Nothobranchius furzeri: one gene and its partners. The protein of the gene in region 4 interacts with the protein of the main gene of each other region in a biochemical or structural test. Links are inferred from orthologs where the notes say so. Each region holds a gene or a part of one and is shown on either strand. Other genes may lie near its edges. The genes, in order: grb2b, cdk5, akt1, cdkn1bb, cullin-1, rnf6 and cdc34b.

Evidence for each region.
Region 1: the proteins of cdkn1bb (region 4) and grb2b form a complex in vitro, tested with the Homo sapiens proteins (2 studies listed by BioGRID and IntAct, with this or other methods). The link is inferred for Nothobranchius furzeri from reciprocal best matches to the Homo sapiens genes CDKN1B and GRB2.
Region 2: the proteins of cdkn1bb (region 4) and cdk5 form a complex in vitro, tested with the Homo sapiens proteins (2 studies listed by BioGRID and IntAct, with this or other methods). The link is inferred for Nothobranchius furzeri from reciprocal best matches to the Homo sapiens genes CDKN1B and CDK5.
Region 3: of the proteins of cdkn1bb (region 4) and akt1, one has a biochemical effect on the other in vitro, tested with the Homo sapiens proteins (2 studies listed by BioGRID). The link is inferred for Nothobranchius furzeri from reciprocal best matches to the Homo sapiens genes CDKN1B and AKT1.
Region 5: the proteins of cdkn1bb (region 4) and cullin-1 form a complex in vitro, tested with the Homo sapiens proteins (2 studies listed by BioGRID, with this or other methods). The link is inferred for Nothobranchius furzeri from reciprocal best matches to the Homo sapiens genes CDKN1B and CUL1.
Region 6: of the proteins of cdkn1bb (region 4) and rnf6, one has a biochemical effect on the other in vitro, tested with the Homo sapiens proteins (2 studies listed by BioGRID, with this or other methods). The link is inferred for Nothobranchius furzeri from reciprocal best matches to the Homo sapiens genes CDKN1B and RNF6.
Region 7: of the proteins of cdkn1bb (region 4) and cdc34b, one has a biochemical effect on the other in vitro, tested with the Homo sapiens proteins (3 studies listed by BioGRID, with this or other methods). The link is inferred for Nothobranchius furzeri from reciprocal best matches to the Homo sapiens genes CDKN1B and CDC34.

The regions. Positions count from the first base shown.
Region 1 is NC_091752.1:67,694,930-67,698,429, forward strand, and holds part of grb2b (growth factor receptor-bound protein 2b), read right to left. Parts: intron 3,266-3,500; coding exon 3,143-3,265; intron 2,831-3,142; coding exon 2,662-2,830; intron 1-2,661. UniProt on the Homo sapiens protein: Non-enzymatic adapter protein that plays a pivotal role in precisely regulated signaling cascades from cell surface receptors to cellular responses, including signaling transduction and gene expression.
Region 2 is NC_091751.1:49,904,740-49,908,887, reverse strand, and holds the start of cdk5 (cyclin-dependent kinase 5), read right to left. Parts: upstream 2,801-4,148; 5' UTR 2,664-2,800; coding exon 2,627-2,663; intron 2,335-2,626; coding exon 2,246-2,334; intron 2,174-2,245; coding exon 2,106-2,173; intron 2,021-2,105; coding exon 1,960-2,020; intron 1,877-1,959; coding exon 1,820-1,876; intron 1,727-1,819; coding exon 1,631-1,726; intron 1,496-1,630; coding exon 1,421-1,495; intron 1-1,420. Other genes in the region: abcb8 (mitochondrial potassium channel ATP-binding subunit), read right to left, coding at 4,005-4,088. UniProt on the Homo sapiens protein: Proline-directed serine/threonine-protein kinase essential for neuronal cell cycle arrest and differentiation and may be involved in apoptotic cell death in neuronal diseases by triggering abortive cell cycle re-entry. Interacts with D1 and D3-type G1 cyclins.
Region 3 is NC_091758.1:33,910,168-33,913,667, forward strand, and holds part of akt1 (RAC-alpha serine/threonine-protein kinase), read right to left. Parts: coding exon 3,484-3,500; intron 3,345-3,483; coding exon 3,279-3,344; intron 2,858-3,278; coding exon 2,789-2,857; intron 2,209-2,788; coding exon 2,083-2,208; intron 838-2,082; coding exon 709-837; intron 1-708. UniProt on the Homo sapiens protein: AKT1 is one of 3 closely related serine/threonine-protein kinases (AKT1, AKT2 and AKT3) called the AKT kinase, and which regulate many processes including metabolism, proliferation, cell survival, growth and angiogenesis.
Region 4 is NC_091744.1:57,771,973-57,776,095, reverse strand, and holds cdkn1bb (cyclin dependent kinase inhibitor 1Bb), read right to left. Parts: upstream 2,700-4,123; 5' UTR 2,434-2,699; coding exon 2,007-2,433; intron 1,877-2,006; coding exon 1,761-1,876; 3' UTR 1,746-1,760; intron 826-1,745; 3' UTR 501-825; downstream 1-500. Other genes in the region: yars2 (tyrosine--tRNA ligase, mitochondrial), read right to left, coding at 3,915-4,074. UniProt on the Homo sapiens protein: Important regulator of cell cycle progression. Inhibits the kinase activity of CDK2 bound to cyclin A, but has little inhibitory activity on CDK2 bound to SPDYA. Involved in G1 arrest. Potent inhibitor of cyclin E- and cyclin A-CDK2 complexes.
Region 5 is NC_091747.1:63,552,676-63,556,175, reverse strand, and holds part of cullin-1, read right to left. Parts: intron 1,806-3,500; coding exon 1,729-1,805; intron 1,662-1,728; coding exon 1,543-1,661; intron 619-1,542; coding exon 513-618; intron 442-512; coding exon 394-441; intron 266-393; coding exon 183-265; intron 113-182; coding exon 7-112; intron 1-6. UniProt on the Homo sapiens protein: Core component of multiple cullin-RING-based SCF (SKP1-CUL1-F-box protein) E3 ubiquitin-protein ligase complexes, which mediate the ubiquitination of proteins involved in cell cycle progression, signal transduction and transcription.
Region 6 is NC_091747.1:51,004,087-51,008,152, forward strand, and holds the start of rnf6 (E3 ubiquitin-protein ligase RNF6), read right to left. Parts: upstream 2,801-4,066; 5' UTR 2,781-2,800; coding exon 2,744-2,780; exon of another isoform or gene 2,701-2,743; intron 1,719-2,700; coding exon 1,563-1,718; intron 1,315-1,562; coding exon 1,150-1,314; intron 1,001-1,149; coding exon 1-1,000. UniProt on the Homo sapiens protein: E3 ubiquitin-protein ligase mediating 'Lys-48'-linked polyubiquitination of LIMK1 and its subsequent targeting to the proteasome for degradation. Negatively regulates axonal outgrowth through regulation of the LIMK1 turnover.
Region 7 is NC_091751.1:57,908,530-57,912,636, reverse strand, and holds the start of cdc34b (cell division cycle 34 homolog (S. cerevisiae) b), read right to left. Parts: upstream 2,801-4,107; coding exon 2,615-2,800; intron 2,531-2,614; coding exon 2,444-2,530; intron 2,353-2,443; coding exon 2,255-2,352; intron 678-2,254; coding exon 543-677; intron 430-542; coding exon 219-429; 3' UTR 1-218. Other genes in the region: splicing factor Cactin, read left to right, coding at 3,926-4,107. UniProt on the Homo sapiens protein: E2 ubiquitin-conjugating enzyme that accepts ubiquitin from an E1 ubiquitin-activating protein, and catalyzes its covalent attachment to other proteins by an E3 ubiquitin-protein ligase complex. In vitro catalyzes 'Lys-48'-linked polyubiquitination.

The DNA of each region.
Region 1 (3,500 bases), on a different chromosome or scaffold from region 4:
CAGAAACCCAGAAAGACAAGAAAAAAACCAGTGATAACCCTACCATACATCAAAGGCACAACAGAAAAAATAAGAGCAACAATGAAAAAACACAACATAAACACACCAACAAAACCATACACAACGGTTAGAAACAGACTAGTACACCCAAAAGACAAGATACCAGCTGGACTTAAATGTGGAGTGGTTTACGAAATCCCCTGCAAACTCTGCAATAAAACATACATAGGAGAAACCGGACGCCAACTCAACACACGAACAATAGAACATAGAAAGAAAGGAGTGCGAGAAAGAAACAAGCCAAAAACACACAAGAGCAGCAAAACAAGAAGCAGAAAGCACAATAAAGAAGTCAACCGTAACAGACCACTGCACAAGAGAAAACCATATAATGGACTGGGACAACACAAGGATCATAAACACCGAACAACAGAAATACAAAAGATAGACAAAGGACGCTATAGAGATAAGGAGACGTGGATGTGGGACCATGAACAGGGACGATGGGGTTTACAAATTGGATCGTGCATGGGACTGCATCATCGGAGAGAGGAGAGCGGGCAGCAGAGGGCGACAACGTCCTCTGCTGCCCGCGGATAAACGGAGTAGGAAGTGACGCCACCATCAGCTCTGAGGAAGTTTTGCAGCCGCAAACGAAACGTCAGCAAGGTAAAGAGAAACCTTTCCTGAGTTTAAAAAAAGAACCAAAAATGGAATTAGAAACTAAACACAGTAAGAACGTCCAAAAGACTTGTGCTTCTGTTCCAGGAACTAGAAGTGAGTCGGTGCAGAGTTGAGCTGAAGACGGCAGGATTTGGAGCCTTACTTCCTGATATTCGGACATCTTTCTTCTGACTGGCTAACAGCAACACGACACTACGCTGACTCTGGTTGCTCTGCAACGTTGATGTTTTATCTCCACAAATAACAAAAGCCAGCAGGAGTTCTGCTGTGTGGTGGAGTTGCTAATGCCAACAGCTAACTCTTACATCAGGAAGAATCCGCACGTTTCGAGCGTTATCCGTTCTTTTATAATCCGTTGTTGAATTGTGATCGGCAGAAGCTTTTCCGGTTCGCGCCTCACTTTTTTTACAGCAGCTGCCCAAAACGATCTCCTAACACATGGATATTCTGCTTCCTGATCCCGTGACGTGTGACGTACGTGGATGAAGATCGGCTTCAGAGCGGAGATGTTTGTTCTCACGGTGCGGGGGCTCGTCCAACGCCCACACAGTAAAAACATGCCAATGACGACTTTAGTCGTCATTGGCATTGAATGAGTTAATATTTCTGCCAGAAGACAACACAGGAAGTCTTCAGCTGAGTAAACGGTTATGAAACAACATGTAAACAAGCTGCTAAGAGATTTTTACTTTAAGACGGTAAAGATCCAAGCTGACCTCGCTCCTCCTAGTCTAGCTATGAACTCATCAGTGCTGAAGGACATAAACTCCATTTCTTTGAACAGAGGCTGTTCAGGAAGCAATCTACAATGAATGAGATCATTTATACTTTTCCACACAAATGGCCGAAATGTTCCTTTAATTGCGTCTAAAATAAAAAAAAAAGCATAAATAAAAATTACATTTTTATGAATAAAATCTTCTAACCTTGCAAAATATTTCAGATGCGGAGAATAAAAAGACGAACACACACACGTCTCCTAACTACCTTTCAGACACACACACACACACACACACACACACACACACACACACACACACACACACACACACACACACACACACACACACACACACACACACACACACACACACACACACACACACACACACACACACACACACACACACACGAAGGCGGTGAGAATGACATCTTTAGCCTAACCCAGATATTTTTTATGATCCTTTCATTGGAGGCGATCAAACGTTATTTACATGTGTTGCATCAGTTCACCCATCAGCTGTCAGCCAGCCCAGCGTCGCCAGTCTGTGGCTTCTACTCTGGCGAGCGCCACCCTGAAGAAGGAACCACCACGCCAGACGAGCACCGACGCATCGCCGCTGGTCTCAGGAGACGGGATCGCCACAGCTGCTCGACACCAACGATCTTTTTGTGTTATTACTGAACGTTGTGGCGATGCTGCCGGTTTACCCGAGGTCCAGATGTTGCAGGACATGCAGATGTTTTCAGGCTAAAGTAACATTTTAATAGAAAAAACTGTATTTTATAAAAGTTGGCTTTAAAAAATAAAATGAAATGAAAACTGCTGCAGTTACAGTAAAGACATCCCAGCTGGAGTTTTAGATGGTAATCTGATTACATTTCATCCTGATGCTTCCTGGAGCATCTCACGATGACTCCAGTGACGCATCTGCTGGAACACTGAAGAGTTCATCATCTCAACCGTTTGTTGTTCCAGCAGAAAGGATCGGCTACAGCGTGTGACAGCTCCTGATAAGAGCCTGTTCACTTCTCAGTGCGCGTCCCGTTATCGCTCAGATTAAATCAGCTTCCACAAAAACGTCCCAAACATCTGAGAGGTGGTGTGTAGACACCAAACAGCAGAAAGAACCACCCAAATCCTAAATCTAAGGCCTACTTCTCCCCACTCCCCCGTTATTCCTGATTCAAGGTCATGAACGTTTGTGTCAAAGCGGACCTGAGGGACCTTCTCACCCGGGGCGAGTAGGGTCTTACCTGGGGGACCTGCTCGATGTCTCGGAGAAAGATCTGCTGGTTGCGGGAGACTGAGGTGGTGCGGTGGTAGTCCACCAGCTCGTTGAGGGAGTTGAACTTCACCACCCAGAGAAAGTACTTCCCAGCTCCGTCGCGAAGAACCTTAAAGTGCTGCACGTCGTTTCCGAACCTGAGGGAGATCACAGCAGGGTGTGTGAGCCGAGTCGCGCCTCGCAGCTCAGACGAGTCAGCGCTTTTGGTTTGTAACTACAGAGAAACGGGCCGGACTGAATCCTGCATGTGAAGTTCTCCAATAATCCAAAAGCAACAGGAAATAATCTGTGGTGTAAAAGTAGCGAAACCAGTCTGTAAATCTATAAAAACGTGTGACAAGACACGTTGCACCAGAATGAGGAAACGAGAGTCAGCAGCCCTCTCTGGAGATCCGCTCTAAGGAAGCTGAACTGATGATAAACTTCATCTGGTCTGGTGCTCCACTCACTTCACAGAGAGGGAGAAGTCCCCCGGTGCGCTCTCGCTCTCTCGGATGAGGAACGCCCCGTCGTGCCTCTGTTTGTTTAGCATCTCCTCTGCTTTGGCACGAGGAATCTTCCCGAAGAACCACCTGCAAACGCAAACAAGAACATGTGAGATTCAAAATTTTAAAGAGCAAGTCACCCCCTACCCTACCAGAGTATTATTCTGCTCCCACTTCCTGTTTGAAAAATGCAACAAATGCTGTTGCCTAGCAGACCGAGAGGGCGGAGCCGCGAACACACACACACACAGGCCCACCACAACATTGTGACATCATATGGTACCAGCTAACGTTCTAGAGTACCTCTTAGCCAATAGCGATG
Region 2 (4,148 bases), on a different chromosome or scaffold from region 4:
CACGACAAACACGCTTTCTTGACAATCTTTGTGAGTAAAAAAAACGTGTAGAAACAAAAACGAACAGCGTGTGTTATTAGGGAAATAGCGAGCGACCGGCCGGCGTTGATGCAGGATTGCGCGCGCATGCGCCGTGAGCGGTTCTGATACTTTTTTGGATCGTAGCTGCTCGCAGCTGCTCGCAGCGCTGCTTCAACAGTGCGATACCCTCACGAGGGATGAGCAAAATATTAAACACACCAGAAGTCCCTGCGACCTCACGACTGCTGATCGGCGGCTGGTCACGTGGTGTTAATCGCCTCTCGTAACCCCCTGCACACTACACGACCGCTCGGCGCAAAACTCGCCCCGATGTCGTGGATTCTCGCACGACTGGAAAATCGGCTCAAAAAAGTGAAAAAGTCGCACAGTGTACGCCCGGCTTAACTTCGGTACATACCATGAAACTTTCATTTTGCAACTTGCAGAAAACAATGTACAAATTTCAAATTACAACTTTCAACACACAAATCTCAGTCTAGTTACAAAACTCAAGTCTACAAATACAAAACATTTAGGAACAATTCTAGCTTGCAGGAAACAGGAATTTTATTTGAAAAGGAATCCAAGACTCATGATTGGCTGGTCAGACAAAGCCTGTCATTGGTTCTTTGGGAAGGAAGCTAGAATTTGGACAAAATGTTTTGTACTTGTAGACTGAGATTTGTGTGTTGAAAGTTGTAATTTGAAATTTGTACATTGATTGTTTTCTGCAAGTTACAAAATAAAAGTTACAGTTACAAAACATGTTACAGGTTACAAAGCTGGGTACAAGTTACATATTGTCTCAATTCCAGTTCCATAAAAAACCTCCAACCTCCATAAATATGCAGGAATCTCAGCTAGACTTGATTGAACACAAGAAAAACTTCCCAACTCTTTGTAAATGTTGCATATAAAAATAATTTGTCACATTTTGTCAAACAGAGGTATGATCTTTTTGTTTTCTGAAATAAAACAATCTTATAAATGACCTAATTTCAAACTCTCAGTGTTTTAAGTTTTCAGTTTGCCACATTTCTACATTGTAGTGTCACTCTGGTTGAGCCTTTCATACATAAAAGCTTGGTCCTGAGGTCAGTCTTATCATTTTTTCAGATAATAAACAAATTTCTAAAATTTCACGTCCCTCTGAACAACCCACTTAACATTTATATGCACACAGAGGGACACAGATCTGTCTTTGTTGCTCAGTTTAATGTCAAACATAGTGTGAAAGCAACCCACACATATTTCTATGTGTACTACATTTTAGTTAATTTCTAGATTTTAAATCTCACTTGTATAAAAAATTGCAAATAAAATCATCTTGGCTTCTCTCTTGCAACAGATTCAGAAATTTCCCCTACTTTTAAAAAAAAAATTCTAATGTCCAACTTACCTCTGCTGAGTAACATCTGACAGGAATGCCGAAGGCTCGAGCCAACCCAAAATCAGCTAGCTTCAGTTCTCCGTTCTACAGATGAAGAAACAATTTATACATTTCTTTATTAATCCCACCACCAGCACAGCATTTAGCTGTGGTTCTTTAATGAACATTGAATTCAGCATTGCGTAACAAAAAGAGCATAATTCCTGATTTGATACTTACTCTGTTGATGAGGAGATTCTGGGGCTTCAGATCTCTATGAAGAACATTTCGACTGTGACAGAAAGCAAGGCCTTTCAGCAGTTGGTACATGAACGACTGCAGAGGGAATTCAAGAATAGAAGTTAAATTTAGTAACAATCAATTTAACCTGTAACTATCAAGGCAACCAGGTGTCATGTCTCATGTCACCTTTACAGTTTCTGGATCTAGATCGCCATTACAGCTGTCAAAATACTTCTTCAAGTCCTATATTGGACAAGAAAACACACTTTAGCAACATAATGTCTATATTAAAAGGAGGGGGAATATTTGGAAAACTAGTAACTAACCTGATCACAATATTCAAAAACCAAGGTTAACTTCTTGTCACTGTGCAGCACATCATGTAGTCTGGAGAGAAAAACAATCAGATGATTCATTTTGGCATCAAGTTATTATTTTAATGCTGCTTTTTAACTCCTCTGGGTAAACAGACCTGACGATGTTCTTATGCTTTAATTCCTTAAGAAGACATATTTCTCTCAAAGCTGAACTTGGCACTCCCTGAAAAACACCTATCTGGGTTAGCACTAGCAAGCTAAACATTAGCGTCTATCTATATTTTAGTATACCAACCTCGTCGTCGTCGTCCAGCCTGACCCGTTTCAACGCCACTATTTCGTGGGTTTCTCTATTTTTTGCCTTGAAGACGGTCCCATATGTACCTACAAAATAAATAATGTCCAGTTGTCACAAACCGGATGAATGCCAAAGCAGCTAGTTAGCTATTTATTTACATACCCACCACTAGCCTGTTACTGGCACCGTGAAATTTATAGGAATCGGCTTACGTTTATAAAGCAAACTCACGCAGATTTGCATTAAATTTAAGTACTATGCATATGAATAACAAAATATATAGCATATACACAAGTCTAATTCAGCAAGCCCTGAGCTAGCATTGATGCTATGTTAGCGTTTACTTCAGCAAGCTAATATTGCCCCAAATAAACTCACCCTCTCCGATTTTTTCAAGCTTTTCATATTTCTGCATGTTCTGTGAGTGAAACGAGCCTTGATGAAGCTTGCAAACAAATGAAGGACAAAACCCCGAGCCTGGGGTGGCTAGAATATTGCAGAAGCTAACGCCGATACTAGGCTCAGTGAGTCAGTGTTCTGTTTAGACCGCAACAACAGGTGCGCTCTTGGCTGACACCTAGAGGGCAAAATATGAACTGCTGGATGCGGAAAATGTTATTTTGGAGCTTCAACAAATAAAGGCAAGATAATATTTAACTCAGTGAGAACTAAAATAAAAAGCCATTAAGTTAAGCATATTTAACGAAAGAAAAGAAGGAAAAACTGTTGTTTTAATTATCTCTGATTAATGCATCGTTATTTGATACTGACTCCATAATACCTAAGCACCATCTAATAATAGCCACTGGGAAAGTCATGTTGAACTTTAAAAGAAAAAAATCACATTTACTATAAATGACTTGCTATAAATGACAGAAATATAAAATGAACGTTTCATTTTAACTGCCACTGGGGTCAAATTAATTTTAGAATCAGAAGGATTTTATTGTCACATGTGCGAGGAATCACAACATTAGGAAATTGCTGCTCTTAGATAATAAAACCATACTAACAATTTAAGATTCATTATAGACAGATATCTGAACAAAACACTCTTAGACTGCATCCCCTCATTTGTAAGATGATCGTTTCAAATCAAATCTCTGACTGCAAATGTTCTCTTGAAAGCCATCAGGTTACATTTGTATTTTTTAAACGTTTCCCAGAGAGTCTGATTTATCCATCTAATGGAATAAACCTCATTTCAAAGTCCGATAAACCTCAGCGCTTTATTTGTTAAGCCTTGTAAACAAGATTGTAATCCTGTTTACTAAGACAGCAAATATACTAGGTGTGGTGTCTTGGTAAAGATTTTTCTTAGTGCTAGAGGATATCTGAGCTCTGTGTTTAAAGATTCACCAGTTAAAGAACATTCTGAAATAACTGAAGCATTTCAAAGGAAACGCAGAAAGCATCAAAACAGCAGTTCCCAAAAGTTAGATCACAAAAACAAGATTCAAATTTTTATACTTTAAACGGTTTAATAATGTTTTAGTTTTTAAATGTTTATGTACTATTTTTCCATACAAGATAGACAAAAACCCAGGGGCTATATTTTTATTTTAATTTATCTGCACAGTAGTGTATTTTGAAATAAACACATTGGTCCATTAATACTTAAACACAAACTGTTTAAAATGTATAGCTAAGCTGCTGCTAAACTGAAAGCAGGTAAATGTACTACACATTTGATGTTATTTAATAAACAAATGTTTTTTATATATATAACTGGTCTACTGGAAACAAACTGTTGTGTCTATTTTTGCCCCTCGGCTTTTTGTCTGCGGATCAGATCAGAGTAGAGTCCTCCTTTGCCCAGTAGTTCCAAATGTGTCCCAGCCTGCAAAGAAAGAAAACATCTTTTTTAATAAACTGAGACATTTAATCAGAGGTCAGAGTC
Region 3 (3,500 bases), on a different chromosome or scaffold from region 4:
ATGTGTTAGGAGATCGTTTTGGGCCGTTCCTGTAAAAAAAGTGAGGCGCGAACCGGAAAAGCGTCTGCCGATCACAATTCGACAACGGATTATGAAAGAACGGATAACGCTCGAAACACACAGATTCTTCCTGATGTAAGAGGTGAGTCTCCTCTTTGTTTTGGCGTCGACATCATCCTAGCGCGCAACGTTCTGTGACTCTTAAAAAAACAGTAAAAACGGTGAGAAACGCTGGCAGCGAAGGCTGTTGGCGATCAGGAAACGGCCAGCAGTGAATGAGTTAAAAGCCACATATTGTTGATATTGAATCAGCAACAAACCACTATGAATGGCTTATTTTGATAAAACTCTTAATTTATGGCCTGTTAGTGACAGAATGACAGCATTAGTAATAAGCTGTTAATAAGTGCTTAATAATGACTAGTTCAGACTTAGTTGTCCACTAATATGCATATTAATTGGCAGCTAATTAATGGTTAATTTGTGTTCCCTAAACTAAAGTGTTACCAAAGTTTTAAACTTCATATGCAGGCATTCATCTTTCTCAATCCAGACAAGCAGGAATTTAATATACTGGATAGATTTGTAAAAGAAAAACACTCAAACACCTAAACTCAGAACTTACACAGTCTTTGTTATGTTGTCACCAATTTAGTGAAGGTTGCCTGCTGTTAAAAACAACGTAAGTAGAGGTAGATTTGTGTTTACCTCAGGTGCAAGGTACTCAGGTGTCCCACAGAAAGTTTTCATAGTGGCACCGTCTTTGATCCCCTCCTTACACAGACCGAAATCTGTGATCTTTATGTGTCCGTCTTTGTCCAGCATGAGGTTTTCCAGCTAAGGAGGGAAGAAAAGGTTTCGTTTTCTACATGAAATCAACTTTCATCTCCTTAATACAAGATGCAGTTTGTACTAACTTTAAAATAAAAACATACAAACGCGTGTGTGTATTTTGGCCACAACTGTTGTTTTTGCTCCTTTTTACGGGTTTCTTAAACACAATGTCGTAACTCTAGCTCTGTCTTTATTCCTTATTCAAATGTAATATTTAGATAATCCGTACATCTTAGTACAAAAATAATTATTTAGATGAAAACAATCCCTTTATTCTGTCCTTCTCTTAACTGAAATTAGAAAAAATTTGTCAAATTTCCTCCGTTTTGAACTTTTTATTCAACTGAAGCATTGATTTAAATTATAGTGAGAAACAGACGAGCTCAGAACCATCAACTTCACGACTAAAGCAGCAAACTCCACCCTCTTGGCTGCCACTTCCTTAAATACAATTCAAAATCTGTGCCAAGTAAAAATTTACTCAAAGTGGACATCATTCAGTTCCATGACGTGAGGTTGCTCATTCTGGCCCTCACCCCCCTCCAGATAGTCACCTGACAGCTGTAGCTCACACGTGGCCAGCAGCGCCCAGCCAGAGTCAGCACATCCTCCAATCCTGCTATCCTGGCATTTTCAGGAGAACCCTCGCAGGCTGGGAGCCTGCCTCGTAAAACCCCAGGGAAGGAAACCGGGGGGGAGGGAGTGTGTGCTGTGCTGACCTGGCTGGTATAGTTTTATCTGCTGAAAGTAGTATGCCTACAGATGCCCACTGCAGCATTTATAACCCACCTAAACAACAAGATGCCCATCAATTGCTGCACTGAAGGATTCTGGTTCTGTGTTTCCCTCAAATTCAGAACTAGAAGCCAAAAACATCTTAGCTGGAGACGAAGGATGGTTTCTGTTAACAAAATTAATTATTTTCTACAGCGTCAACTTATAAAACGGTATCAATTACAAAGTGCACAGATATCACCCACTGGGCATCGAATGCACGCTATAACTGGAGGAGGTCGCAATCTGTTCAAAGAGCCTGGTGTTTACTTCCGTCTCTCTGCAGTAATGTATGGACCAAGCTCGTCTCCAGCTGCAGTGAGGCCTGGAGGAAGCAGATCAATAAGGCTTGGCCACGGCCACTGCTCAGGAGGAAGATAAACCCTTCCGAAGGACGACGGAAGGAAGCGAGAGCGAAAAAATGAGTAGAAGAGGCCAGAATGGACAAAGGCGAGCGCACAATTTCCCGCTTACCTTTAAGTCACGATAAACCACGTTCCTCTCGGCGTGCAGGTAATCAAGCGCCGACACTATCTCTGCTCCGTAGAACCGAGCCCGTTCCTCGGAGAAAACCCGGTCTCTTGACAGATGGAAAAAAAGCTGAGGAAACGTAGGGGAGAAAACGAGGATTCAGTAATTGTCCAGAAGGGAGAAACTGAAGCCATGTACACACGTAGCCGACTACCCCCCCCCCTCCATTTAGGAAGAAAACTTGGGTCTCGTTTTGGGCAAAATAATCTAGCACACTGTGAAGCACATTCGTAGGCATCCCAAGCCTGTAGGGGACGGTAGTTCCCCAAATTGTTGGCGTCTTTGCCGAAAAACATTCCATGGATGTGGAATAACAAGGTGGCAGCCAACAGCCGTCCTCAACATCGTCTTTCACCTGCGTCTTCTTCACCAGAGCAGCCACCGAGCTAATAAGAACAAGGAGGTAAGTGTAAACAGGTCACACATGTGACAGTACAAAACCTAAAACCCAGTTTTTTATGTCCACAAGCACATGCTGACGATGGAGAATTCACAAATTTCCATTTTGGTCCGGGTATTTGAAAGATTCGCGTTTGGTGCCCTGGATCTTCACTTTTGCGTGGATGACAGAAAATATCTTTGTTTAGTGGGATACCCGACTACGTGTGTACAGGGTCTTAGTCGTGAGGGCACCGGTAAAACGGCCTACCTCGCCGCCGTTTGCATATTCCATGACGAAGCACAGGCGGTCGTGTGTCTGGAAGGAATATTTGAGTCCCTGCAGAAGAAGAACATGTTTAAAGCAGAACTTGAGGTTTAGAGAGAAATCAGGAGGAAGCTGCCCTTTAAAACAGCTGGAAACAAAATGCATTTTAATACAAAGAACTGTGGGAACACCCAACCAAAAAGGGAACATCAATGATCCGATTTGTGGAGGTTTTAAAGAACCGTTGTCATCTGGTCTACATTGAAGCCGATGCATTATGTCTCCACCTGCCAACCCACCTCTTAGTCAAAAAAAAAAAAAAGGGGGTTAACAAATAAAAAACTAAAAGCCCAGTGTTGCTATAAACAGGCACATCACTTCAAACACTCCAGCCCAGATTTTCTGAATGGATTCTGCTGGACTGGACTGAAGAGGTTCCTGAGGATTTCTGTGGGTTAACGTAAGGTTTTGGGTATACGGAGGGGCTCCTTACAGTCAAGAACGGATGCTTTGAATTCTGGAGGACCCTGTTCTCTGTGAGTGTGTGCGCCACTTCATCCTGAAAAAGAAAAGCACAAAGAGTGTTTGTGCAAGTCTCACAATAGCTAACTATTTAGGTATCAGTCATTGCGCCGCTGCCCTCCTAAACCCGAGTAGCTTTCACCCCTTTTTCACTCGGCTCTCTGGCAACCACTCACTTTTGCTACGATCACCT
Region 4 (4,123 bases):
AAGGAAACACTCGAACATTAAAACGTAGCTGAGGCGCACAGAAAAACTTCAAAAAAATTGTTTCATAATATTCCAGGACTCTGATGCTAAAAGCACCTCGATTAAAAAATAAATATCAGAAAATCTTAACAGAATTTTTACATCTCCTCGTCGTTTAGACGAGTCCAGCCCTTTGCAGGGAGGCGCTGTAATAAATGAAAAAACAAATTAAATTACGATACGTGAGCTACATTTGTACCATTCTTCACTGCTGCATTAGGAAGCTGACGGAGTGAAGGAACACTACAGAAACGGTGAGAAGCCATGATTTTTTCTTTTTAAGTGTAGCAATTAAGGACAGTGGCAAATGTCACACAGTCTGGAAATAAAAATAAAAAACAGCATTTTGGAAACCATCACTGCAATTCTTCAAGTCAAATGAAAATTCACAACTTTTTACAAAAAGGATTGGATTTAGAATTAAGTTCCTTATGTGCTACACATGGAGACATATTTATACCTATATATATATATATCCATCTTTATTAATTTATTTACACACAGGTAGTAACAAAACGAGCAAAAAAGGGAAATAAAACCTAATTGCACACTGCTACATCGACTGCTGTTAGAGGCAGTAACTTATTTTTAATTGAGTGCCACAACTTTAGTGTTTCTATTCAGTGCTTCAACAGCGTCCTCCTCAGTCCTCAGAAGAGCCGATATGTTTCTGATGCTGCGCAGATCCTCATCCCCAAAAAGCCAACAAACAGTCAGGCCTCCAAAAAAATAAAATAAAAGATGCATATAAAAAACAACACCCTCGCAAAAAAAAAAATGCTCGAACTGTGTGGAGAAGGTGGGAAAAATAAGAAAAAAAAAAGGTTAGTATTAACATTTTTGAAAAATCATCTTTTAACAATTCATGGAAAAAGTTTCACTTTAATTATTTTTCATAACTAGACTGTTTATTTCAAGTGTGCACCCCCTATCAGTTTCCTATTTTTAAAAAGACTAACAAGGTTAAGCTAAACTGACCTGTTACACACACACACACACACACACACACACACACACTTATGAAACTAACAGCTATTTTGTCTTTTAGTGCAGTTCTTTCATCATATTTTATAATAAAATCTTTCAAGGATTTACTTTTGAACAGAAAAACATCCTCATATTGAATCACACCCGGTTATTGTTCAAATTTCTGTGCTAAAAAGAAACATTGATGTAAGTGTTCTCATCTGCAGCCTAAACAGGTCCTAAACCACTGTGAGGAAGATCTCATCGTGCCCATCCCTCCTCCCTTTACTTGAATTCGGACCTGCGGGTCTCCTCAGCACACTCCTCTGCCTGCAGGGACAGCGTGCGTGCGTGTGTGTGTGTGTGCGTGCGTGCGTGTGTGTGTTCAGAGACCAGCCCCTTCTCTGCTCTGCTCCGAGGGCAGTGGCTGCTGACGTGTTACTACTACACTGTTGTTCAGCCCTTGTTTACAGTTTAGTAGAAAAGCTGCAGCAGTGAGACGTTAAAGCCTTTTTCTCTCGGCAGAGTTGATCTCATTGTGATTAAATGAATATAAAATGTTGAAATGGTTACTAGAGTCCAGCATTTTACTTACTGAAGATAAAATAAGCGTGCAGCACCGTTAAAGCTACTCGATAATATGTGGAGAGAACGTGTTATATAACCTGCTGTGGCTCAGATCACAGCTGAGGAACAGAAGCTACATGCGGTTATTGTATACGGATGAGTTTAAGCCTCACCGTTTTCTCTCGGGCTCACGTCTGTCTCTTGGGACTGGGCTTTCTGGGTGTGTGTTCTACTGAGTGGCTCAGGTTCGGACAGCTAACCTCGTCTGGGCTGGTATGGGACCTCTTGTTTTGGGTCGGAGGCTCTGCGAACAGCAAAGAAATTCTGTCAGGGAAACTCGGAGCAAAAACACAAGAAGAGGGTTATAGATGTGCTTCCTGTCGGGTGAAAGCCGAGCTCCGGCTCTAAAACCTGATTAGATGCAAATGTAGTACCGTGACTAGCAGGTCTCTTCCTCAGCCCGGTGCACTCCGTTTGACCGTCGGGCTTGCTGGTATCCCCGCTCGACGCCACCAGGACGCAGTTATGGTTCCCGTTTAGATCCACACTGGTGCTCCTGGGGCAGACGCCCTTCTCCCTCCGCGGCTGCCGGTGGTAGAAGTCCGGCATCTCCTCGGAATCCACTAGTTCCCATTTGAACCTGCCGTTGCTCAGTGGCGTGTCACTGGCGAAGTCGAAGCCCCACTTGGCAGCGGCAGCCTCTTTGAACTCCCGCATGTGTTCGTTAAAATCCTTCTTTAACTCTTCGTGATCCACCGGGCCGAACAGACTTCTGCAGGCAGACGGCTTCGGGTGCTCCGACACCCGGGCCTCCGTCCGCTCCAACGTCGGACTCCCGTTTGAAACTCGAACATTAGACATTTCCCCTCCCCCCAATAAACACGCTATTTTCAGTCAGCCGGGAGCGTCCAGCTGTCATAAGAAAAACACGTCGCTGAAAAAAAAATACAAATAAAAAACAACAACAGCGGTATCTCCAGGTCACGGGGGAAAGATCCGACGCAGCTCTACACCTATGCCATGCATACGTCGAAGTGGAAGACGTTAACTGCTGCGGGGCTCTGGAGTCGAAGATGGTCTCCGAGAATCATCAAAACAAAGTGCACAGGAACTGAGGACGCTGTCAGTTTCGCTCCGCTCAGAGAGAAACTGCAGAGAAACCTCAGCACCCAATATGGCGATTGAGGAGCAGAGCAGTGGTGGGGACTGAGACGGGAGGGGGAGGGGCTTATGATTGACACACAGAGCTATTTAAACCCGGCAAAGGACGCTCATTGGTTAAGCGACACCTGGCCCCACCTACTTTATTTAAAGTGACAGTAGGCGTGTATGAGTGGGGAAGTCGGCTCATATTTTTCCATCACGTTTTACTAAAATAAATATTTATGTATGCTTCTTAAAAATAGAAAACGTATTTTTGTGTAAATGACTACATCACACAAGCTTTATAGTTACACATCTAAAAAAAATACTAAATTTACAGGTAATTTGCAAAGGAGTCAAAACCATTATTTTTCTAAACATCTTCAGTGTGCATTACTCTGTTTTTAATAGTTGATTTATTCTAAATATAAGTATTAACCAAATATTTACCAAATTTAAAAAAAAAATCCAGCATCATAAAGCAACACACGTATGCCAAAGACACACTACAACGGAGTGTAAAACAAAACTAATAAGCCAAGAACCTGCAGAAATCAAACCTGCCGTGGGTCGAGCATTGGTTTTTACATCGCAGCTGAAAAAATTCACAATTTCACATAAAAGTCAGCATGCACTCCCAAAAGAGAGAATTACATCATTATATATATATAATACAAATAATTTAAGGTAGTTTCTTTTTGTCAATGACTGCATGAAAACCTTTTTTCTCCTTTTGTTACTTTTTACACAAACTGACAGAAAATAAAACACCAGACGTAAGGCTGATTTTGGCCTCATGTTCCAAAATAAAAGTGCAGTGTTTAAACTGTTTTGTGAGAAATGATGCAATGTACTTTTACTGGAAAAAATGTTTACTTAAAAGGGTCACAGCAGGATAAGTGGTGCAGATGAGGCCGGCTACAGCCAGCCATTAAAACAATAGCGCCATCTTGTGTTCACTTGACTAAACTATTGCAGCACAAAATCAGCAAGAAACCAATCTTATCAAATACTTTAATACCACACTTTTAAATAAGCATCACAGCTATGCATTTACATATTTATATGTCCATAAAAACAAATACTTATAAAGTAAAAGTCCATCAAAATCTTCTCACTGACTGCCAAAGTATTGCTGCCTACCTTCGTCATCAGTCATTACAGTTTAGTTTAGTGCCTTCATTCTCAATCAGGGAGTGTCAGAGGCCGAGCCACTTGATGATGTAGAAATTCCTTTTTCCTACTTTGAGCAGCGTGAGTCCATTAGTCAGGATGTGGACTTTGGGGATCAGCACCTGCTCTGGATGGTCAGCCCGTTTGTGGTTAATCGAGATTGCCCCCTCTGAAACCATCCGATACCTGCCAACATAAACATGTATGATTAAGACTCTGGGTTAAAGGAGAATGA
Region 5 (3,500 bases), on a different chromosome or scaffold from region 4:
GGTCACCTGGATGAGGAGCTTCCTGTCCTCCTCGATGTTCTTGTGGGTGGTCTCCTGCTCTTGTTTCTGCTCCGTCTTCATCGGGACGTTGATGTTCACCCTCAGCTTCTTACTGCAGGAGGACAACCGATTTAAAACCGCTTCAACAAACCCAGACGGCAGAAGGAAAAGCTGATCCTCACTTCTTGTATCCTAGGAAGAGTTTGATGACCGTGTCCGGTTTGAAGTCCACCTCGTCCACGTTGGCGTTCTCGTCCTCCAGAACCTGATGAGAAGAAAATTAAAGGTTTTAATCTAAAACTGCTGCAGCTCCTTTAAAAGTTGAGTTTTTACACCTGATCGCTAAAACACACACACACATGCACACACACGCACACACACGGCTGAACTCACCAGCAGCTTTGACTTCAGCAGGATCTGCAGCACCTGAACCAGAATATCCTGAGAACAGAGAGCCAGCTGATTAGATGTAATCTGATTACATGGATCCTGAGGTTGGAGCGGCCTCTTACGGTTTTGATCTGCGTGCTGTCGGTCAGCTGCTGCACCGTGTAGCTGTCCTCCGTGTTGTACTGCAGCAGGATGGCCATCTGGAAGGTGGAGGCCTGCAGCGTGTACCTGCAGCACCAGGCAGCACATGACTGATGCATTATGGGAAAGATTCATATCTGGCCTGGGAGCGTTCCCTTACTCAGGGTACGTGCAGGGATCTCAGACCATCTAACACTCATTAAGGACCTTCTGATGTATCTGGGTCAAATATAAAACATCAGATCATAATTTGTTTTCTGAGCTTGAGCTTCCAGCTGATGTCATGTGATCAGCTGACATCAGATCAACTGGAAACCGGCTTTCTGACCGAGCTGTACGGTAATTATCTTCATTAAGACGACGACGTGATCTCGGTTACCGCATGGTCAAACACTGGCATCCAAAAGCAGCACAGACACATCTCATGATGGATCTCCAGTGTCCTCGAATGCCGGATCAATAAACGGGTGCATGAGCTGGGGCCATTTCCCACCAGGAAATAAACTATTCGTGCTGCTAGTATCAGGTTTTAACGGGTTAAACTGCTCCGTCGACGAGCCTCTGGAACGGCTGATGGGGGAGGAGGAGCAGGGACGTTTGATTTGGTGAACTCCAACTGCTGTGGGGTGTTGAAGCAACAGCAGTCGTTCACGCTGTAGCGCCACAGCACGCTTGTGCAAAGCCGCCTGTGACTGGTCACATGACGACTCGTGACCCAATAACAAACATGGGTTGAGAACAAGATGATAACCAGACTTAAAATTTTCCTTAATGCAATTCATCATTTTGTAAAACTTTTCTAGAGCCTGCAGATTCCCTCTTATTTCTCCTCTTCAGGCAGGAGAACACCAGGAACGCTGTAGCACTCCCGTCAAAATAAAAGCCTCAGAGGCTGTTTGTGACATTAGCTTTCTATGACTCCAACTTCTGTTGGCCTAGAGACTCGCAGTGGATCAACCTTGATCTCTGGCAGGTTCTGTCTGAGAAACGAGGCCTAAAACATCCTGTTACCTGTTCTTGAAGCAGTTGGTGACCAGCTCTCCTTTGGACAGGTGATACAGCCAGGTGAGCTTCCTGCCGCTGTGCCGGCTGGCGTAAAACGCGGTGAAGCGCTGGTAGCTTCGCTCCAGCTGCAGGAGGACAGGAGGAGTCAGAACATGGCAACGTGCCGCAGCAGCTTCATTAAGGAAGTCTCACCTCCGACGGAAGGGCGAAGGTGCACGACTGCTGGAACGGCCACGATCCAGAACTCAGAACCTGGATGCTGAAGTCCACTAGAGCATACAAACAGGAAATCAGCTGCTTCTGGGCCGTGTGTGTGTGTGTATGTATGCGTGTGTGTATGCGTGCATGTGTGTATGTGCATGTGTGTGTGTATGTACGTACGCGTGCGTGTGTATGTGTGTGTATGTGCGTGCGTGCGTGTGTATGCATGCGTGTGTGCATGTGTATGTGCGTGCGTGTGTGTGTGTGTGTATGCATGCGTGTGTGCATGTGTGTGTGTGTGTGTGTGTGTGCGTGCGTGTGTATGCATGCGTGTGTGCGTGCGTGCGTGCGTGTGTGTGTGTGTATGCATGCGTGTATGTGTGTATGCATGCATGCGTGCGTGTGTGTGTGTATGCGTGCGTGTGTGCATATGCATGCGTGCGTACGTGTGTGTGTGTATGCGTGCGTGCGTGCATGCGTGTGTGTGTGTATGCATGCGTGTATGTGTGCGTGCGTGTGTGTGTGTGTGTGTGTGTGTATGCGTGTGTGTGTGTATGCATGCGTGCGTGTGTGTGTATGCATGTGTGCGTGTATGCGTGCGTGCGTGTATGTGTGTGCGTGCGTATGCGTGTATGTGTGTGTGCGTGTGTGTGTGTGCATGCGTATGCGTGTATGTGTGTGTGCGTGTATGTGTGTGCATGCGTATGCGTGCGTGTATGTGTGTGTGTGTGCATGCGTATGCGTGTATGTGTGTGTGCGTGTGTGTGTGTGCATGCGTATGCGTGTATGTGTGTGTGCGTGTATGTGTGTGCATGCGTATGCGTGTATGTGTGCGTGCGTGTATGTGTGTGCATGCGTATGCGTGCGTGTATGTGTGTGCGCGCGTATGCATGTATGTGTGTGTGTGTGTGCGTGCGTATGCGTGTATGTGTGTGTGTGTGTGCATGCGTATGCGTGTATGTGTGTGTGCGTGTATGTGTGTGCATGCGTATGCGTGTATGCGTGCGTGTATGTGTGTGCGTGCGTATGCATGTATGTGTGTGTGTGTGTGCATGCGTATGCGTGTATGTGTGCGTGCGTGTATGTGTGTGCATGCGTATGCGTGCGTGTATGTGTGTGTGTGTGCGTATGCGTGCGTGTGCGTATGCGTGCGTGTGTGTATGCGTGCGTGCGTGTATGTGTGTGTGTGCGTATGCGTGTATGTGTGTGCGTGTGTGTGTGTGCGTGTGTGTATGTGTGTGTGTGCGTATGCGTGCGTGCGTGTGTGTGTATGCGTGCGTGTATGTGTGTGCGTGCGTATGCGTGTATGTGTGTGTGTGTGCGTATGCGTGCGTGTATGTGTGTGTGTGTGCGTGTATGTGTGTGTGCGTATGCGTGCGTGTGCGTATGCGTGCGTGTGTGTATGCGTGCGTGTGTGTGTGTGTGTATGCGTGTGTGTGTGTGTGTATGCGTGCGTGTGTGTGTGTATGCATGTGTGTGTGTATGCGTGCGTGCGTGTATGTGTGTGCGTGCGTATGCTTGTATGTGTGTGTGCGTGTATGTGTGTGCATGCGTGTATGTGTGTGTGCGTATGCGTGTATGTGTGTGTGCGTGTATGTGTGTGCATGCGTATGCGTGCGTGTATGTGTGTGTGTGCGTATGCGTGTATGTGTGTGCGTGCGTGTGTGTGTGCGTATGCGTGTATGTGTGTGTGCGTATGCGTGTATGTGTGTGTGCGTGTATGTGTGTGCATGCGTATGCGTGCGTGTATGTGTGTGTGTGCG
Region 6 (4,066 bases), on a different chromosome or scaffold from region 4:
CGAATCCTTCTCACCTGCAGGTCCAGCATGATGGTGGGGTGGCGTCTCACTGCTGAACCTCCAGCTCCTGTGACGTGTGAATCCCTCTCAAGCTCCACAGTCTCCACAGCCGTCTCGGTTAGAGCAGCAGGTTCTGACACGGTCTCCCCAGTCTCCATCGACACCGAGGTTGTTACACTGGCTGGCTGAGTGTGGACAGCAAAACCAATTGGGACGCTGCTGGAGGATGGTGCAGTACTTGGAACAGGTGTTCTGTGCAAAGGAGAACGACTTCTTCTAGACACACGAGATGAAACTCCACTCCCTGTTGTAGCCCTACGGGCACGACCACGCGATCGAGTCCTACTGCTGCGTGATTCGTGTTCCACAGGTGGGGCCTGTGATTCAGATTGGAGTGACACCTGAGGACAGTCTGGAGGAGTAGACATTCCATCCTGCCTTTGCTCCACCTCTACATGCAGGAGCGGACGCTGGGAAGGTGTGGTTTGATCAACAAGAGAACTGGGGACAACAGACAAAGGTGCGGAAGAGTGCAAAGTGTTGACCCTCCTTTGACCAGAAATCTCTGGAGGTGGCGGCACATGGAGGCTAACAGGAGGAGTGGTAGTGCTGCTACGTGTACGTCGAGTCTCCATCCTCCTACTGATGGCAGGACGGGGGGAAGGATATGGGGCTGACCTTGGTGCAGCTGAAGGGCGAGAGCTGGAGAGTGAGAAAGCAGTGCGTGTAGAGGGTGCTGTTGTGTTTGAAGGAGTCAGCTCTGCAGTATCTGCGGTGTTCACACCGTCATTATGCTCTCCAGGCTCAGGTTGATCGTGGTTTATGTTGATCTCTAAGCTAAAACGAAATTCCCCACTGTTGGGGTTGGTCCGGCTAACAGCCCGCCATGTCTGGTTGCCGCTCTGTCCACTCCGGGTGGCATTACCAGTACGTCTGAAAGTGTTGAGCCACTCCAGTAATGAATCGCCATTAGAAGGTTCTGCTCCAGGTTCTGTGTTCCCTGTCAAAATGTTTTTAAAAAGTTAGAACTTAGTAAGAAAACATTTGCAGTTATCTTAAGTCCCAAAATTCCTGGTGAATGCTATTGTCTGGTTTGTTTAATCCTAACCATGGAACCAGAAAAGTCAGATAAACACAAGAACATCATACCTGCCCCTCCTCTTCCTCCAGCACCTCTCTCCTCTCCCCCGCTGCTACTGCTCTGTTGTTCTCCAGCGTCAGCAGTCTGTGAGCGTTGCTCAGTGCCGGGCTGAGACAACACACGCTCTTTTGCTCCATCCAGACGCTGTCGCAGCTCCTCTGCAGTAACCTCCCCTGTAAAATATTTTGCACATTGAGGGTGTTTTGAGACATGAGCACCAGAGAAACACCTCTGTGCTTAGATGCTCCAAAGACAGAAAAACATAATTAAAATTATTATTATTTTTTTTTTTTAATTCTGGTTTGGAAGTACTAGATACATTTTTCACATTCACAGAAAACCTTTGGGGCTGCAACATCAAGTAAAGACTCATGTAAAGTGACAGTTTGGCCTGGACCTAAACTAGTGGGTGACTCCTCACCTGGGGTGCCCAGCAGGTTGCTGTCTCTCATGAGACGGTACTCTTCCTCACTCAGTTCATTTATGAAGTGATAGTATGCCTCCTCCCGTCGAAGACGCTCTGCCTGCCTCTGGCGTTCATCTCCCCCACCAGGAGGGTCCATCACCATGGAGAGTGCTGGGAAGCAGATGAGCAAATCATCAGCTGATGATGGAAAGTGACAGTGACACGCAAAGCTACCCACAGCAGCTTTACCTAAGTGAAAATTTGTTATGGATGCATATAAACAAGAGAATGCAGTCAAAACTGATAACAGCTCCATTCTTAAGTCGAAAGATGAGTAAATAACATTTGAGTTTGAGGTATATACGCACTCAATATGCTGTGGTGCGTTGCAGCTCAACAAGAAATGCAAATTCAAACCTGATCAGTCTTTTAAAAGGCCGAGAGGAAAACCAACGTCAACCATTTTCTACAAGAGCTACTGCAATAATCTAGCTAACATTTAGCTTGTGTGTTAGCGTCAGAAGTTAAACTATTTTGTCATGTGGAAAAAAATAACAAGAGTACAAGACAGCTAATAAGACAAATAATACCGATGTAGTCTTCATGAAAGCTAATTTTAAACAAGTGGATTTATATCGAGCGAAGGCCACGGCTAATGTAAAGCAACAAAAGTGCCGCTGTCATCATGGTCAGCGACCAATCAGCGGTCTAGCCTCGGTGACGGTCACGCCCGGCGTCCAATCGCTGTTCGGCAAAGGCGGGCCAAGCGAGGCTAACGGAGGCTTCCTCCATGTAGACGCAGAGCATCGAAGCAAAGACAAAGAATCCTGTCCGCATAATCAAACAGCAGAATGATTCAGATGTATGCCATCAACAGTGAAATTATGTGTTGTCGCACAAACGCACGAGCACGATTTGTGGACCCTTCATAAACTGCGAAGCGTAAAATTCAATGCGCAACGCTTCCGAGTGTTAACTGAACATGTTAGCACAGCCAGCAATCAGTCGATGCCCAGTGTTAGCTCCGAGAAAAAAAAGAAACACATTACCATGGGGAATTATTTTATCGATCAGTTAACACACACGAAACACACAAGTTAAAGAAATCATACTCTCGTGAGACGTGACATTAAAATTTATAAGATTTAGATACCTGACAAGGCAGTTATAATATGGACGGTTGGCTCAGCTCTCACCTCTCACAACCCAAGATGGGACCAGCGGTACAAGCATTAAACCGTCCGTCTGAAACAAGCACCGCATTTTCTTAGTTCCTACAAAACAATACTGTCCAAAGAGATGTTTATTGGTTTTTTAACCAGTTTGAAAGGCAGATCAACATTATCAAAAATAATTAATTTATGCTGTATTTAAAATGAAATTGTGTACATTTTACTTTAACATTTGTTATAAGCAGGTCCTCCTAAAAATGACTGAGATCACGATCCAAGAGTAGGTCATGAAACACCAGTGGGTGTAATTTCTAGATGATCTTCATTAATCAACGTAAATCTAAGAAGAGTAGCTAATTTGTCACTATTTATTTACTATCACGGCTATTCTCTCCACACAAAAAGATAAGAGACGATGTATGAATGAGCTAGTCAAAGAATGCTGACAGTTCTGGATAAAGTAAAGAGCCTTTAAAACAGTTTTTGTTAGTAAATCCTAGAAATAAACAAACAAATAAATAAAAGAAGATCCAAACTGTGAGCCAAATGCAAATTCAAATGCATTGTAAAATGAGTTCATAGTAAGAATTCTATTGTTTCCAGTTCCCGATAATGCAATTTTCCTACTAACTATGACCAACTTCTGTACTCATTTTATCTAATCACCTCTTTAAAATGAATGGCATCTTTTCATCTATGTTTCTGTTGTTAAAACATAAATTCACAGTGATTAGTTAACAGAGATAGAAATTAGCTTTTATTGAAGACAAATACAAGTGTTGCACTGTCATTGTGAATCCATGATAAAGAGAAATCCAAAAGGGACACAGATGTCCCTCCACAAAATTGTCCTCCAACAAATTACTTTTTACCTCTTCAACTCACCGCTACTTATATGGATAAACCCTTGAAGATGTCATAAATGGGGGTTTGTTATAAATTGTCAAACACTTCCATCAATTATTGGGTATTGACAACTTACTGAATTAAATAGGCCCAATTTTCTTATTTGCTTAAAATTTAAAAGATGGATATTTTGTTTCTTATTTACAAAATCTAATTGAAGGGCTTTTTTAACCAATAAAAACGCTTTTTGGTGGTTTCCTGTCTGTAACACGACACTAAAATAAAAAAACGCTGTTTTCACAATGTAAATGCGTTACTGATGAGGTTCTAGACACGTATTTCAACGTGGTTGGGTCTGCTTATCCCATGTTTCCATCCTCTTTTCTCCGCTGCAGGACCGTCTTTACGACGTTTTACGACAGTGCTGTCGTTGCCGACTATGTACGTCTCTTTGGAGCAGATACCGGCTGGGGGGAAACGCAGCAACAACAGAAAGAAATA
Region 7 (4,107 bases), on a different chromosome or scaffold from region 4:
AATTGGTGGCTGTGCTGGTGCAAAAGTGACCACAGTCTGACCCTCTCGCAACGAGGCATCAGTTTTAACCTCTGAGGCTGAAGGAAAAAAGCTCTTGTACTGATTTAGAAGGAAGCTTCCAATCTCTCTTGGTTGCAAACCAAGAATATCTGGCAACCCAGGAAGAGTTAAAGGATGAGCATTCGTCAGCTAGGTTGGGTTTTCTGACAACAAGAATGTCACGACTCCTCATTGCCCGAGTCATCCTCGTCATAGCAACAGTCGCCGTCTCCCCCCTCCACGTCATCGTCTTCATAGTAATAGTCATAGAAGAGGTCAGAGCCTTCGTCTGGCGGCGGGGCGCGTGTACGAACGCAGTATTCAGCTAGCGTGGTGGGCACCTTCACGCCATCTCGCTCTGCTTCTGCCTTTGTGGCCAGCACCTGTTTCCTGAAGGGATTTGTTTTATGAAGACTGAATTACTTTTGTGTGGATGGTGTGGCTTTGAAAATCTTTTAGAAATATTTGAGGTTTGTCTTAAATAACATTACACTAATGTTTACCTGATGATCTCTACATATTCCCGGTCCTTGCCTTTGCTGTCTCTCCATTTCCGGTACATGACAGAGGCGTCCACGTTGGCAGGGGAGAAGGTGTTGGGTTCATTTAGCAGCGAGATCACGCTCAGCAAAATGGTCCTAGAAGCAAAAAACAAAGGCAACTTAGTATAGAACCATAAGAAAACGACTTTAGGTGAATTAAAAAGTTTTAAACACATAAAAAATATTTTAATGTCACAAGCCTAAATTACTTATTTCATCTACTATTTTATTAGAATAAACAATGAAGCACATATTACATTAGGAACTTAAAGCTAATTGATAAAACATGTATTAAAAAAACCTGTCAGACCCATGTGCTACCACCCTACCAGAATCAGAATCAGAATAGGTTTATTGCCATTTTCAGTGAACAAACAATTCACAAACTAGGAACTTGCTTCGGCACTAATGTGCTACATATAACATGAATAATAAGATTAAAAATAGAATAAAATAGAATAAAATATAATAATTAAAAAAACTAGAATAAAACTTTCAGCTAAAATGGCAGGTAATGGTAACATGGCCGATAACGTGACGTTGTGTCGAGTACAGAAGACCAGCATGGTTGTGTGTTTATAATCTATTCACAAGTCTAACGGCAGATGGAAAGAAGCTGTTCTTATGGCAGGAGGTTCTGGTCCGGATGGACCGTAACCTCCTGCCTGAGGGAAGCGGCTCAAAAAGTCTGTGACCCGGGTGCGAAGGGTCAGCTGTTATCCGGCCTGCACGCCCCCGAGTTCTGGAGACGTACAGGTCCTGGAGAGATGGAGGGCTGCAGCCAATCACCTTCTCAGCAGAGCGCACAATGCGCACTGACAAGCCTTTACATTACATTTATAAAACGTAGCATTGTGAGTAAGGTTTTAGTGAGTCGTTATGGGAAACAGAAAGAAGCTGCTTCTGTTTGTGGCCAAAGGAACAGCCTTTGTGACAGACTTCCTGATCTACAGATCTAATGTGTCTGCAGCAAAAATGCAAATGAGGAAATTAGGTTAGGTTAACGGTATACCACCTGCAACAACAAAAACATAAGAGCTGCACTGCATCAAGTGACCGAAACCACCAGAGCTTACATCTTTGTAACACTGCTGAAGTTGTGTGATTTCGACTACTACAGATCACAGGTTTAATATCACTTGTGAGTGTGACATCGTTGTGGTGGCTTTTACATAGATAGTTTCTTGTTGAATAGAAATCTGGCTCTCAGTTACAGAAAAAGATCAAAGATACATTTTTTTGTGCACAGATTGCATAATGTGAGCCTGACAAATAACCTCAGAAGGAAGTTTATAATAAATAAAGATGCATTTTCTCCCTCTTCTGCAGCAAAATGCTGTCAAACTCATGCGATACACTTATTGTGAGTCACAATGAATTAAGGTACTCAAAGTATGTTTTTCATAGAAATAAACCAACAAAATCTTAGTTTGCATAGTATGATATTATCCAAAGATCAATTTAATTTTGTTTGTAAATAAGAGGAAGATGCAGATCTAGCTTTACTGCTGGCTGCTGCAGCCGGTGAAGAAGATGCTGCTGATAATGAATGTCATAAGATAAGAGTCTGCGCTGGGTGAACCATTGAAGTGATTGCAAAGTGGACAAAGATGGAAGGAGACCAGAAAGGAGAAACGTATAGAGAGAATATGATTAGAAAGAGAAATGCTAACCGAACATTCTGGGTTGGATTCCATCTCTCTGATGGGAGCTCTCCGCTCTGCGGGTCATCCACTGGAGGGTGCAGTATAGAAATACACACATCTCCATTCTACAAGAGGGGAAACAAATACATTCCATCATCAGATGCATTCATTCAAATTAAATACACTGTTATGAGTACACACACGTCAATATTTAACCTCATAGATGTTGGGATGCCACATTTTGGTTAGGAAGCGGAAAGCAGGAGGGGAGTAAGGATAATCTGTAGGAAACTTGATCCTTGCCTAGGGGGGAAAATGGGGACATCTTGTTATTTTTTAAACTACGGTCATTTCTTATATGTCATCTGATTTTAATTACAACCTTACCTTGAAATATCCCCCTTCATAATGAGTGTTTGGTGGACCAAAAATGGCGACTTCCCAGTTGTATAAATCAGCCTCGTCCACCAGAGTGATTTTAAATCCCTCCACAGGCTCTTCCTGGAGGCTCTTCATTTCCAACATGAGAGCTTTCTGCGAACTAGCTACATGAGAAGGGTCGTGTTGCGCCATAATGATTTATGAAGCTTTCAGGATTATCTGGAGGCGACAGCTTTTGTTTACACGGCTAAGCTAGCCAAGCCAGCAAACAGCACAACTTCTCCTTTTTCGATGTTCGGAGGCAAAGAAAACAGGCCGACCGCGCGTAAAAGCAAAACAAAGACTGCGGTTGGTCTGTTCCCAAATTAAACGTTATTAATGTCAAAACTCAGTAATGTTATAAACGAGAAACACATTGTGTCTGAGAGGCTCAACAGCTTTGGCTGATTTACCTGGCAGAGCAGCAGCTGATATAAGCCTTAAATCTACTGTTAGCTAAGGAAAGCTAACAAGCTCCGTCTAATTGACCAGCTGGAGCGACGTAATTACCGCAAAAACACAAAATAACTACATAAAATGGCAATTTGAAAAGACAAACGCAAAAAGTCATGTGACACTACGCCAAACTATACCTCCAGTAACCATAATTGTTTAGCCCTCATAGAAAGCTGCGAAAGGAAATGTGTTGCTGAAAGAGTCCCCTGGTAAAAACAGGTAATGGCGCCCTGTTGTTGGCTGGGACTGGTAGTCTTTCATTCCGCGTTTGTTAGATTAAAAAAACGTGAAACCAAAATAACTGAAAACCCTGGTATAATATAATTCCTGTTCTTTTTATTTATGATGTTTTTATTTTTATTTTAAATGCCCAAAAAGAAAAATAAGTTTGTTTGTGCTTGCATTTTCCTGTTAAACTGTTTAAATACGGTAGCGGTTACTATGGACGAAATATCTATGACATCAATAATAGTATTTTATCACCGACATAACTAAATTGTAAGAAAAACAATCCTGCGTTCATTTGTGGCTAATTTGTAGTTTATTAAGTGGCTGTGACGTTTTAATCTGCGCCAGTGCTCAGGAAAGCCCATTTAGGCTAGCTTTTCTTTGCCTTACTAAATACATTTGGATTTTTTATAAAAGAAATCTGACACGTAATTTTTTCTGTCATAGCACACGTTAGAGTATGCGAACATTAAACATAGACATATGTTTTTATTAGTGCGATTGTAAACGTTATTATAATCAACAGTGTTTCGTCAATGCCTCCTATTTACGCGACAGACTGCATTTAGGGCCCCGAAAAGAAGAAAGTTCGTGATGGGTTCGAAAACACGGCGTAGGTCTCGTTCCAGGTCCATAAGTCGGGGCAGAGATCACCGAAACAAGTCCAGAGTAAACAGGTCGCGATCTCCAGATGAGAGGAGAGGTCGCAACAGGTCTCCGAGCCCGAAAAGGACCACACTGGGTCGAGGCAGATCCAGCAGCGAGGCTTCGAGCGA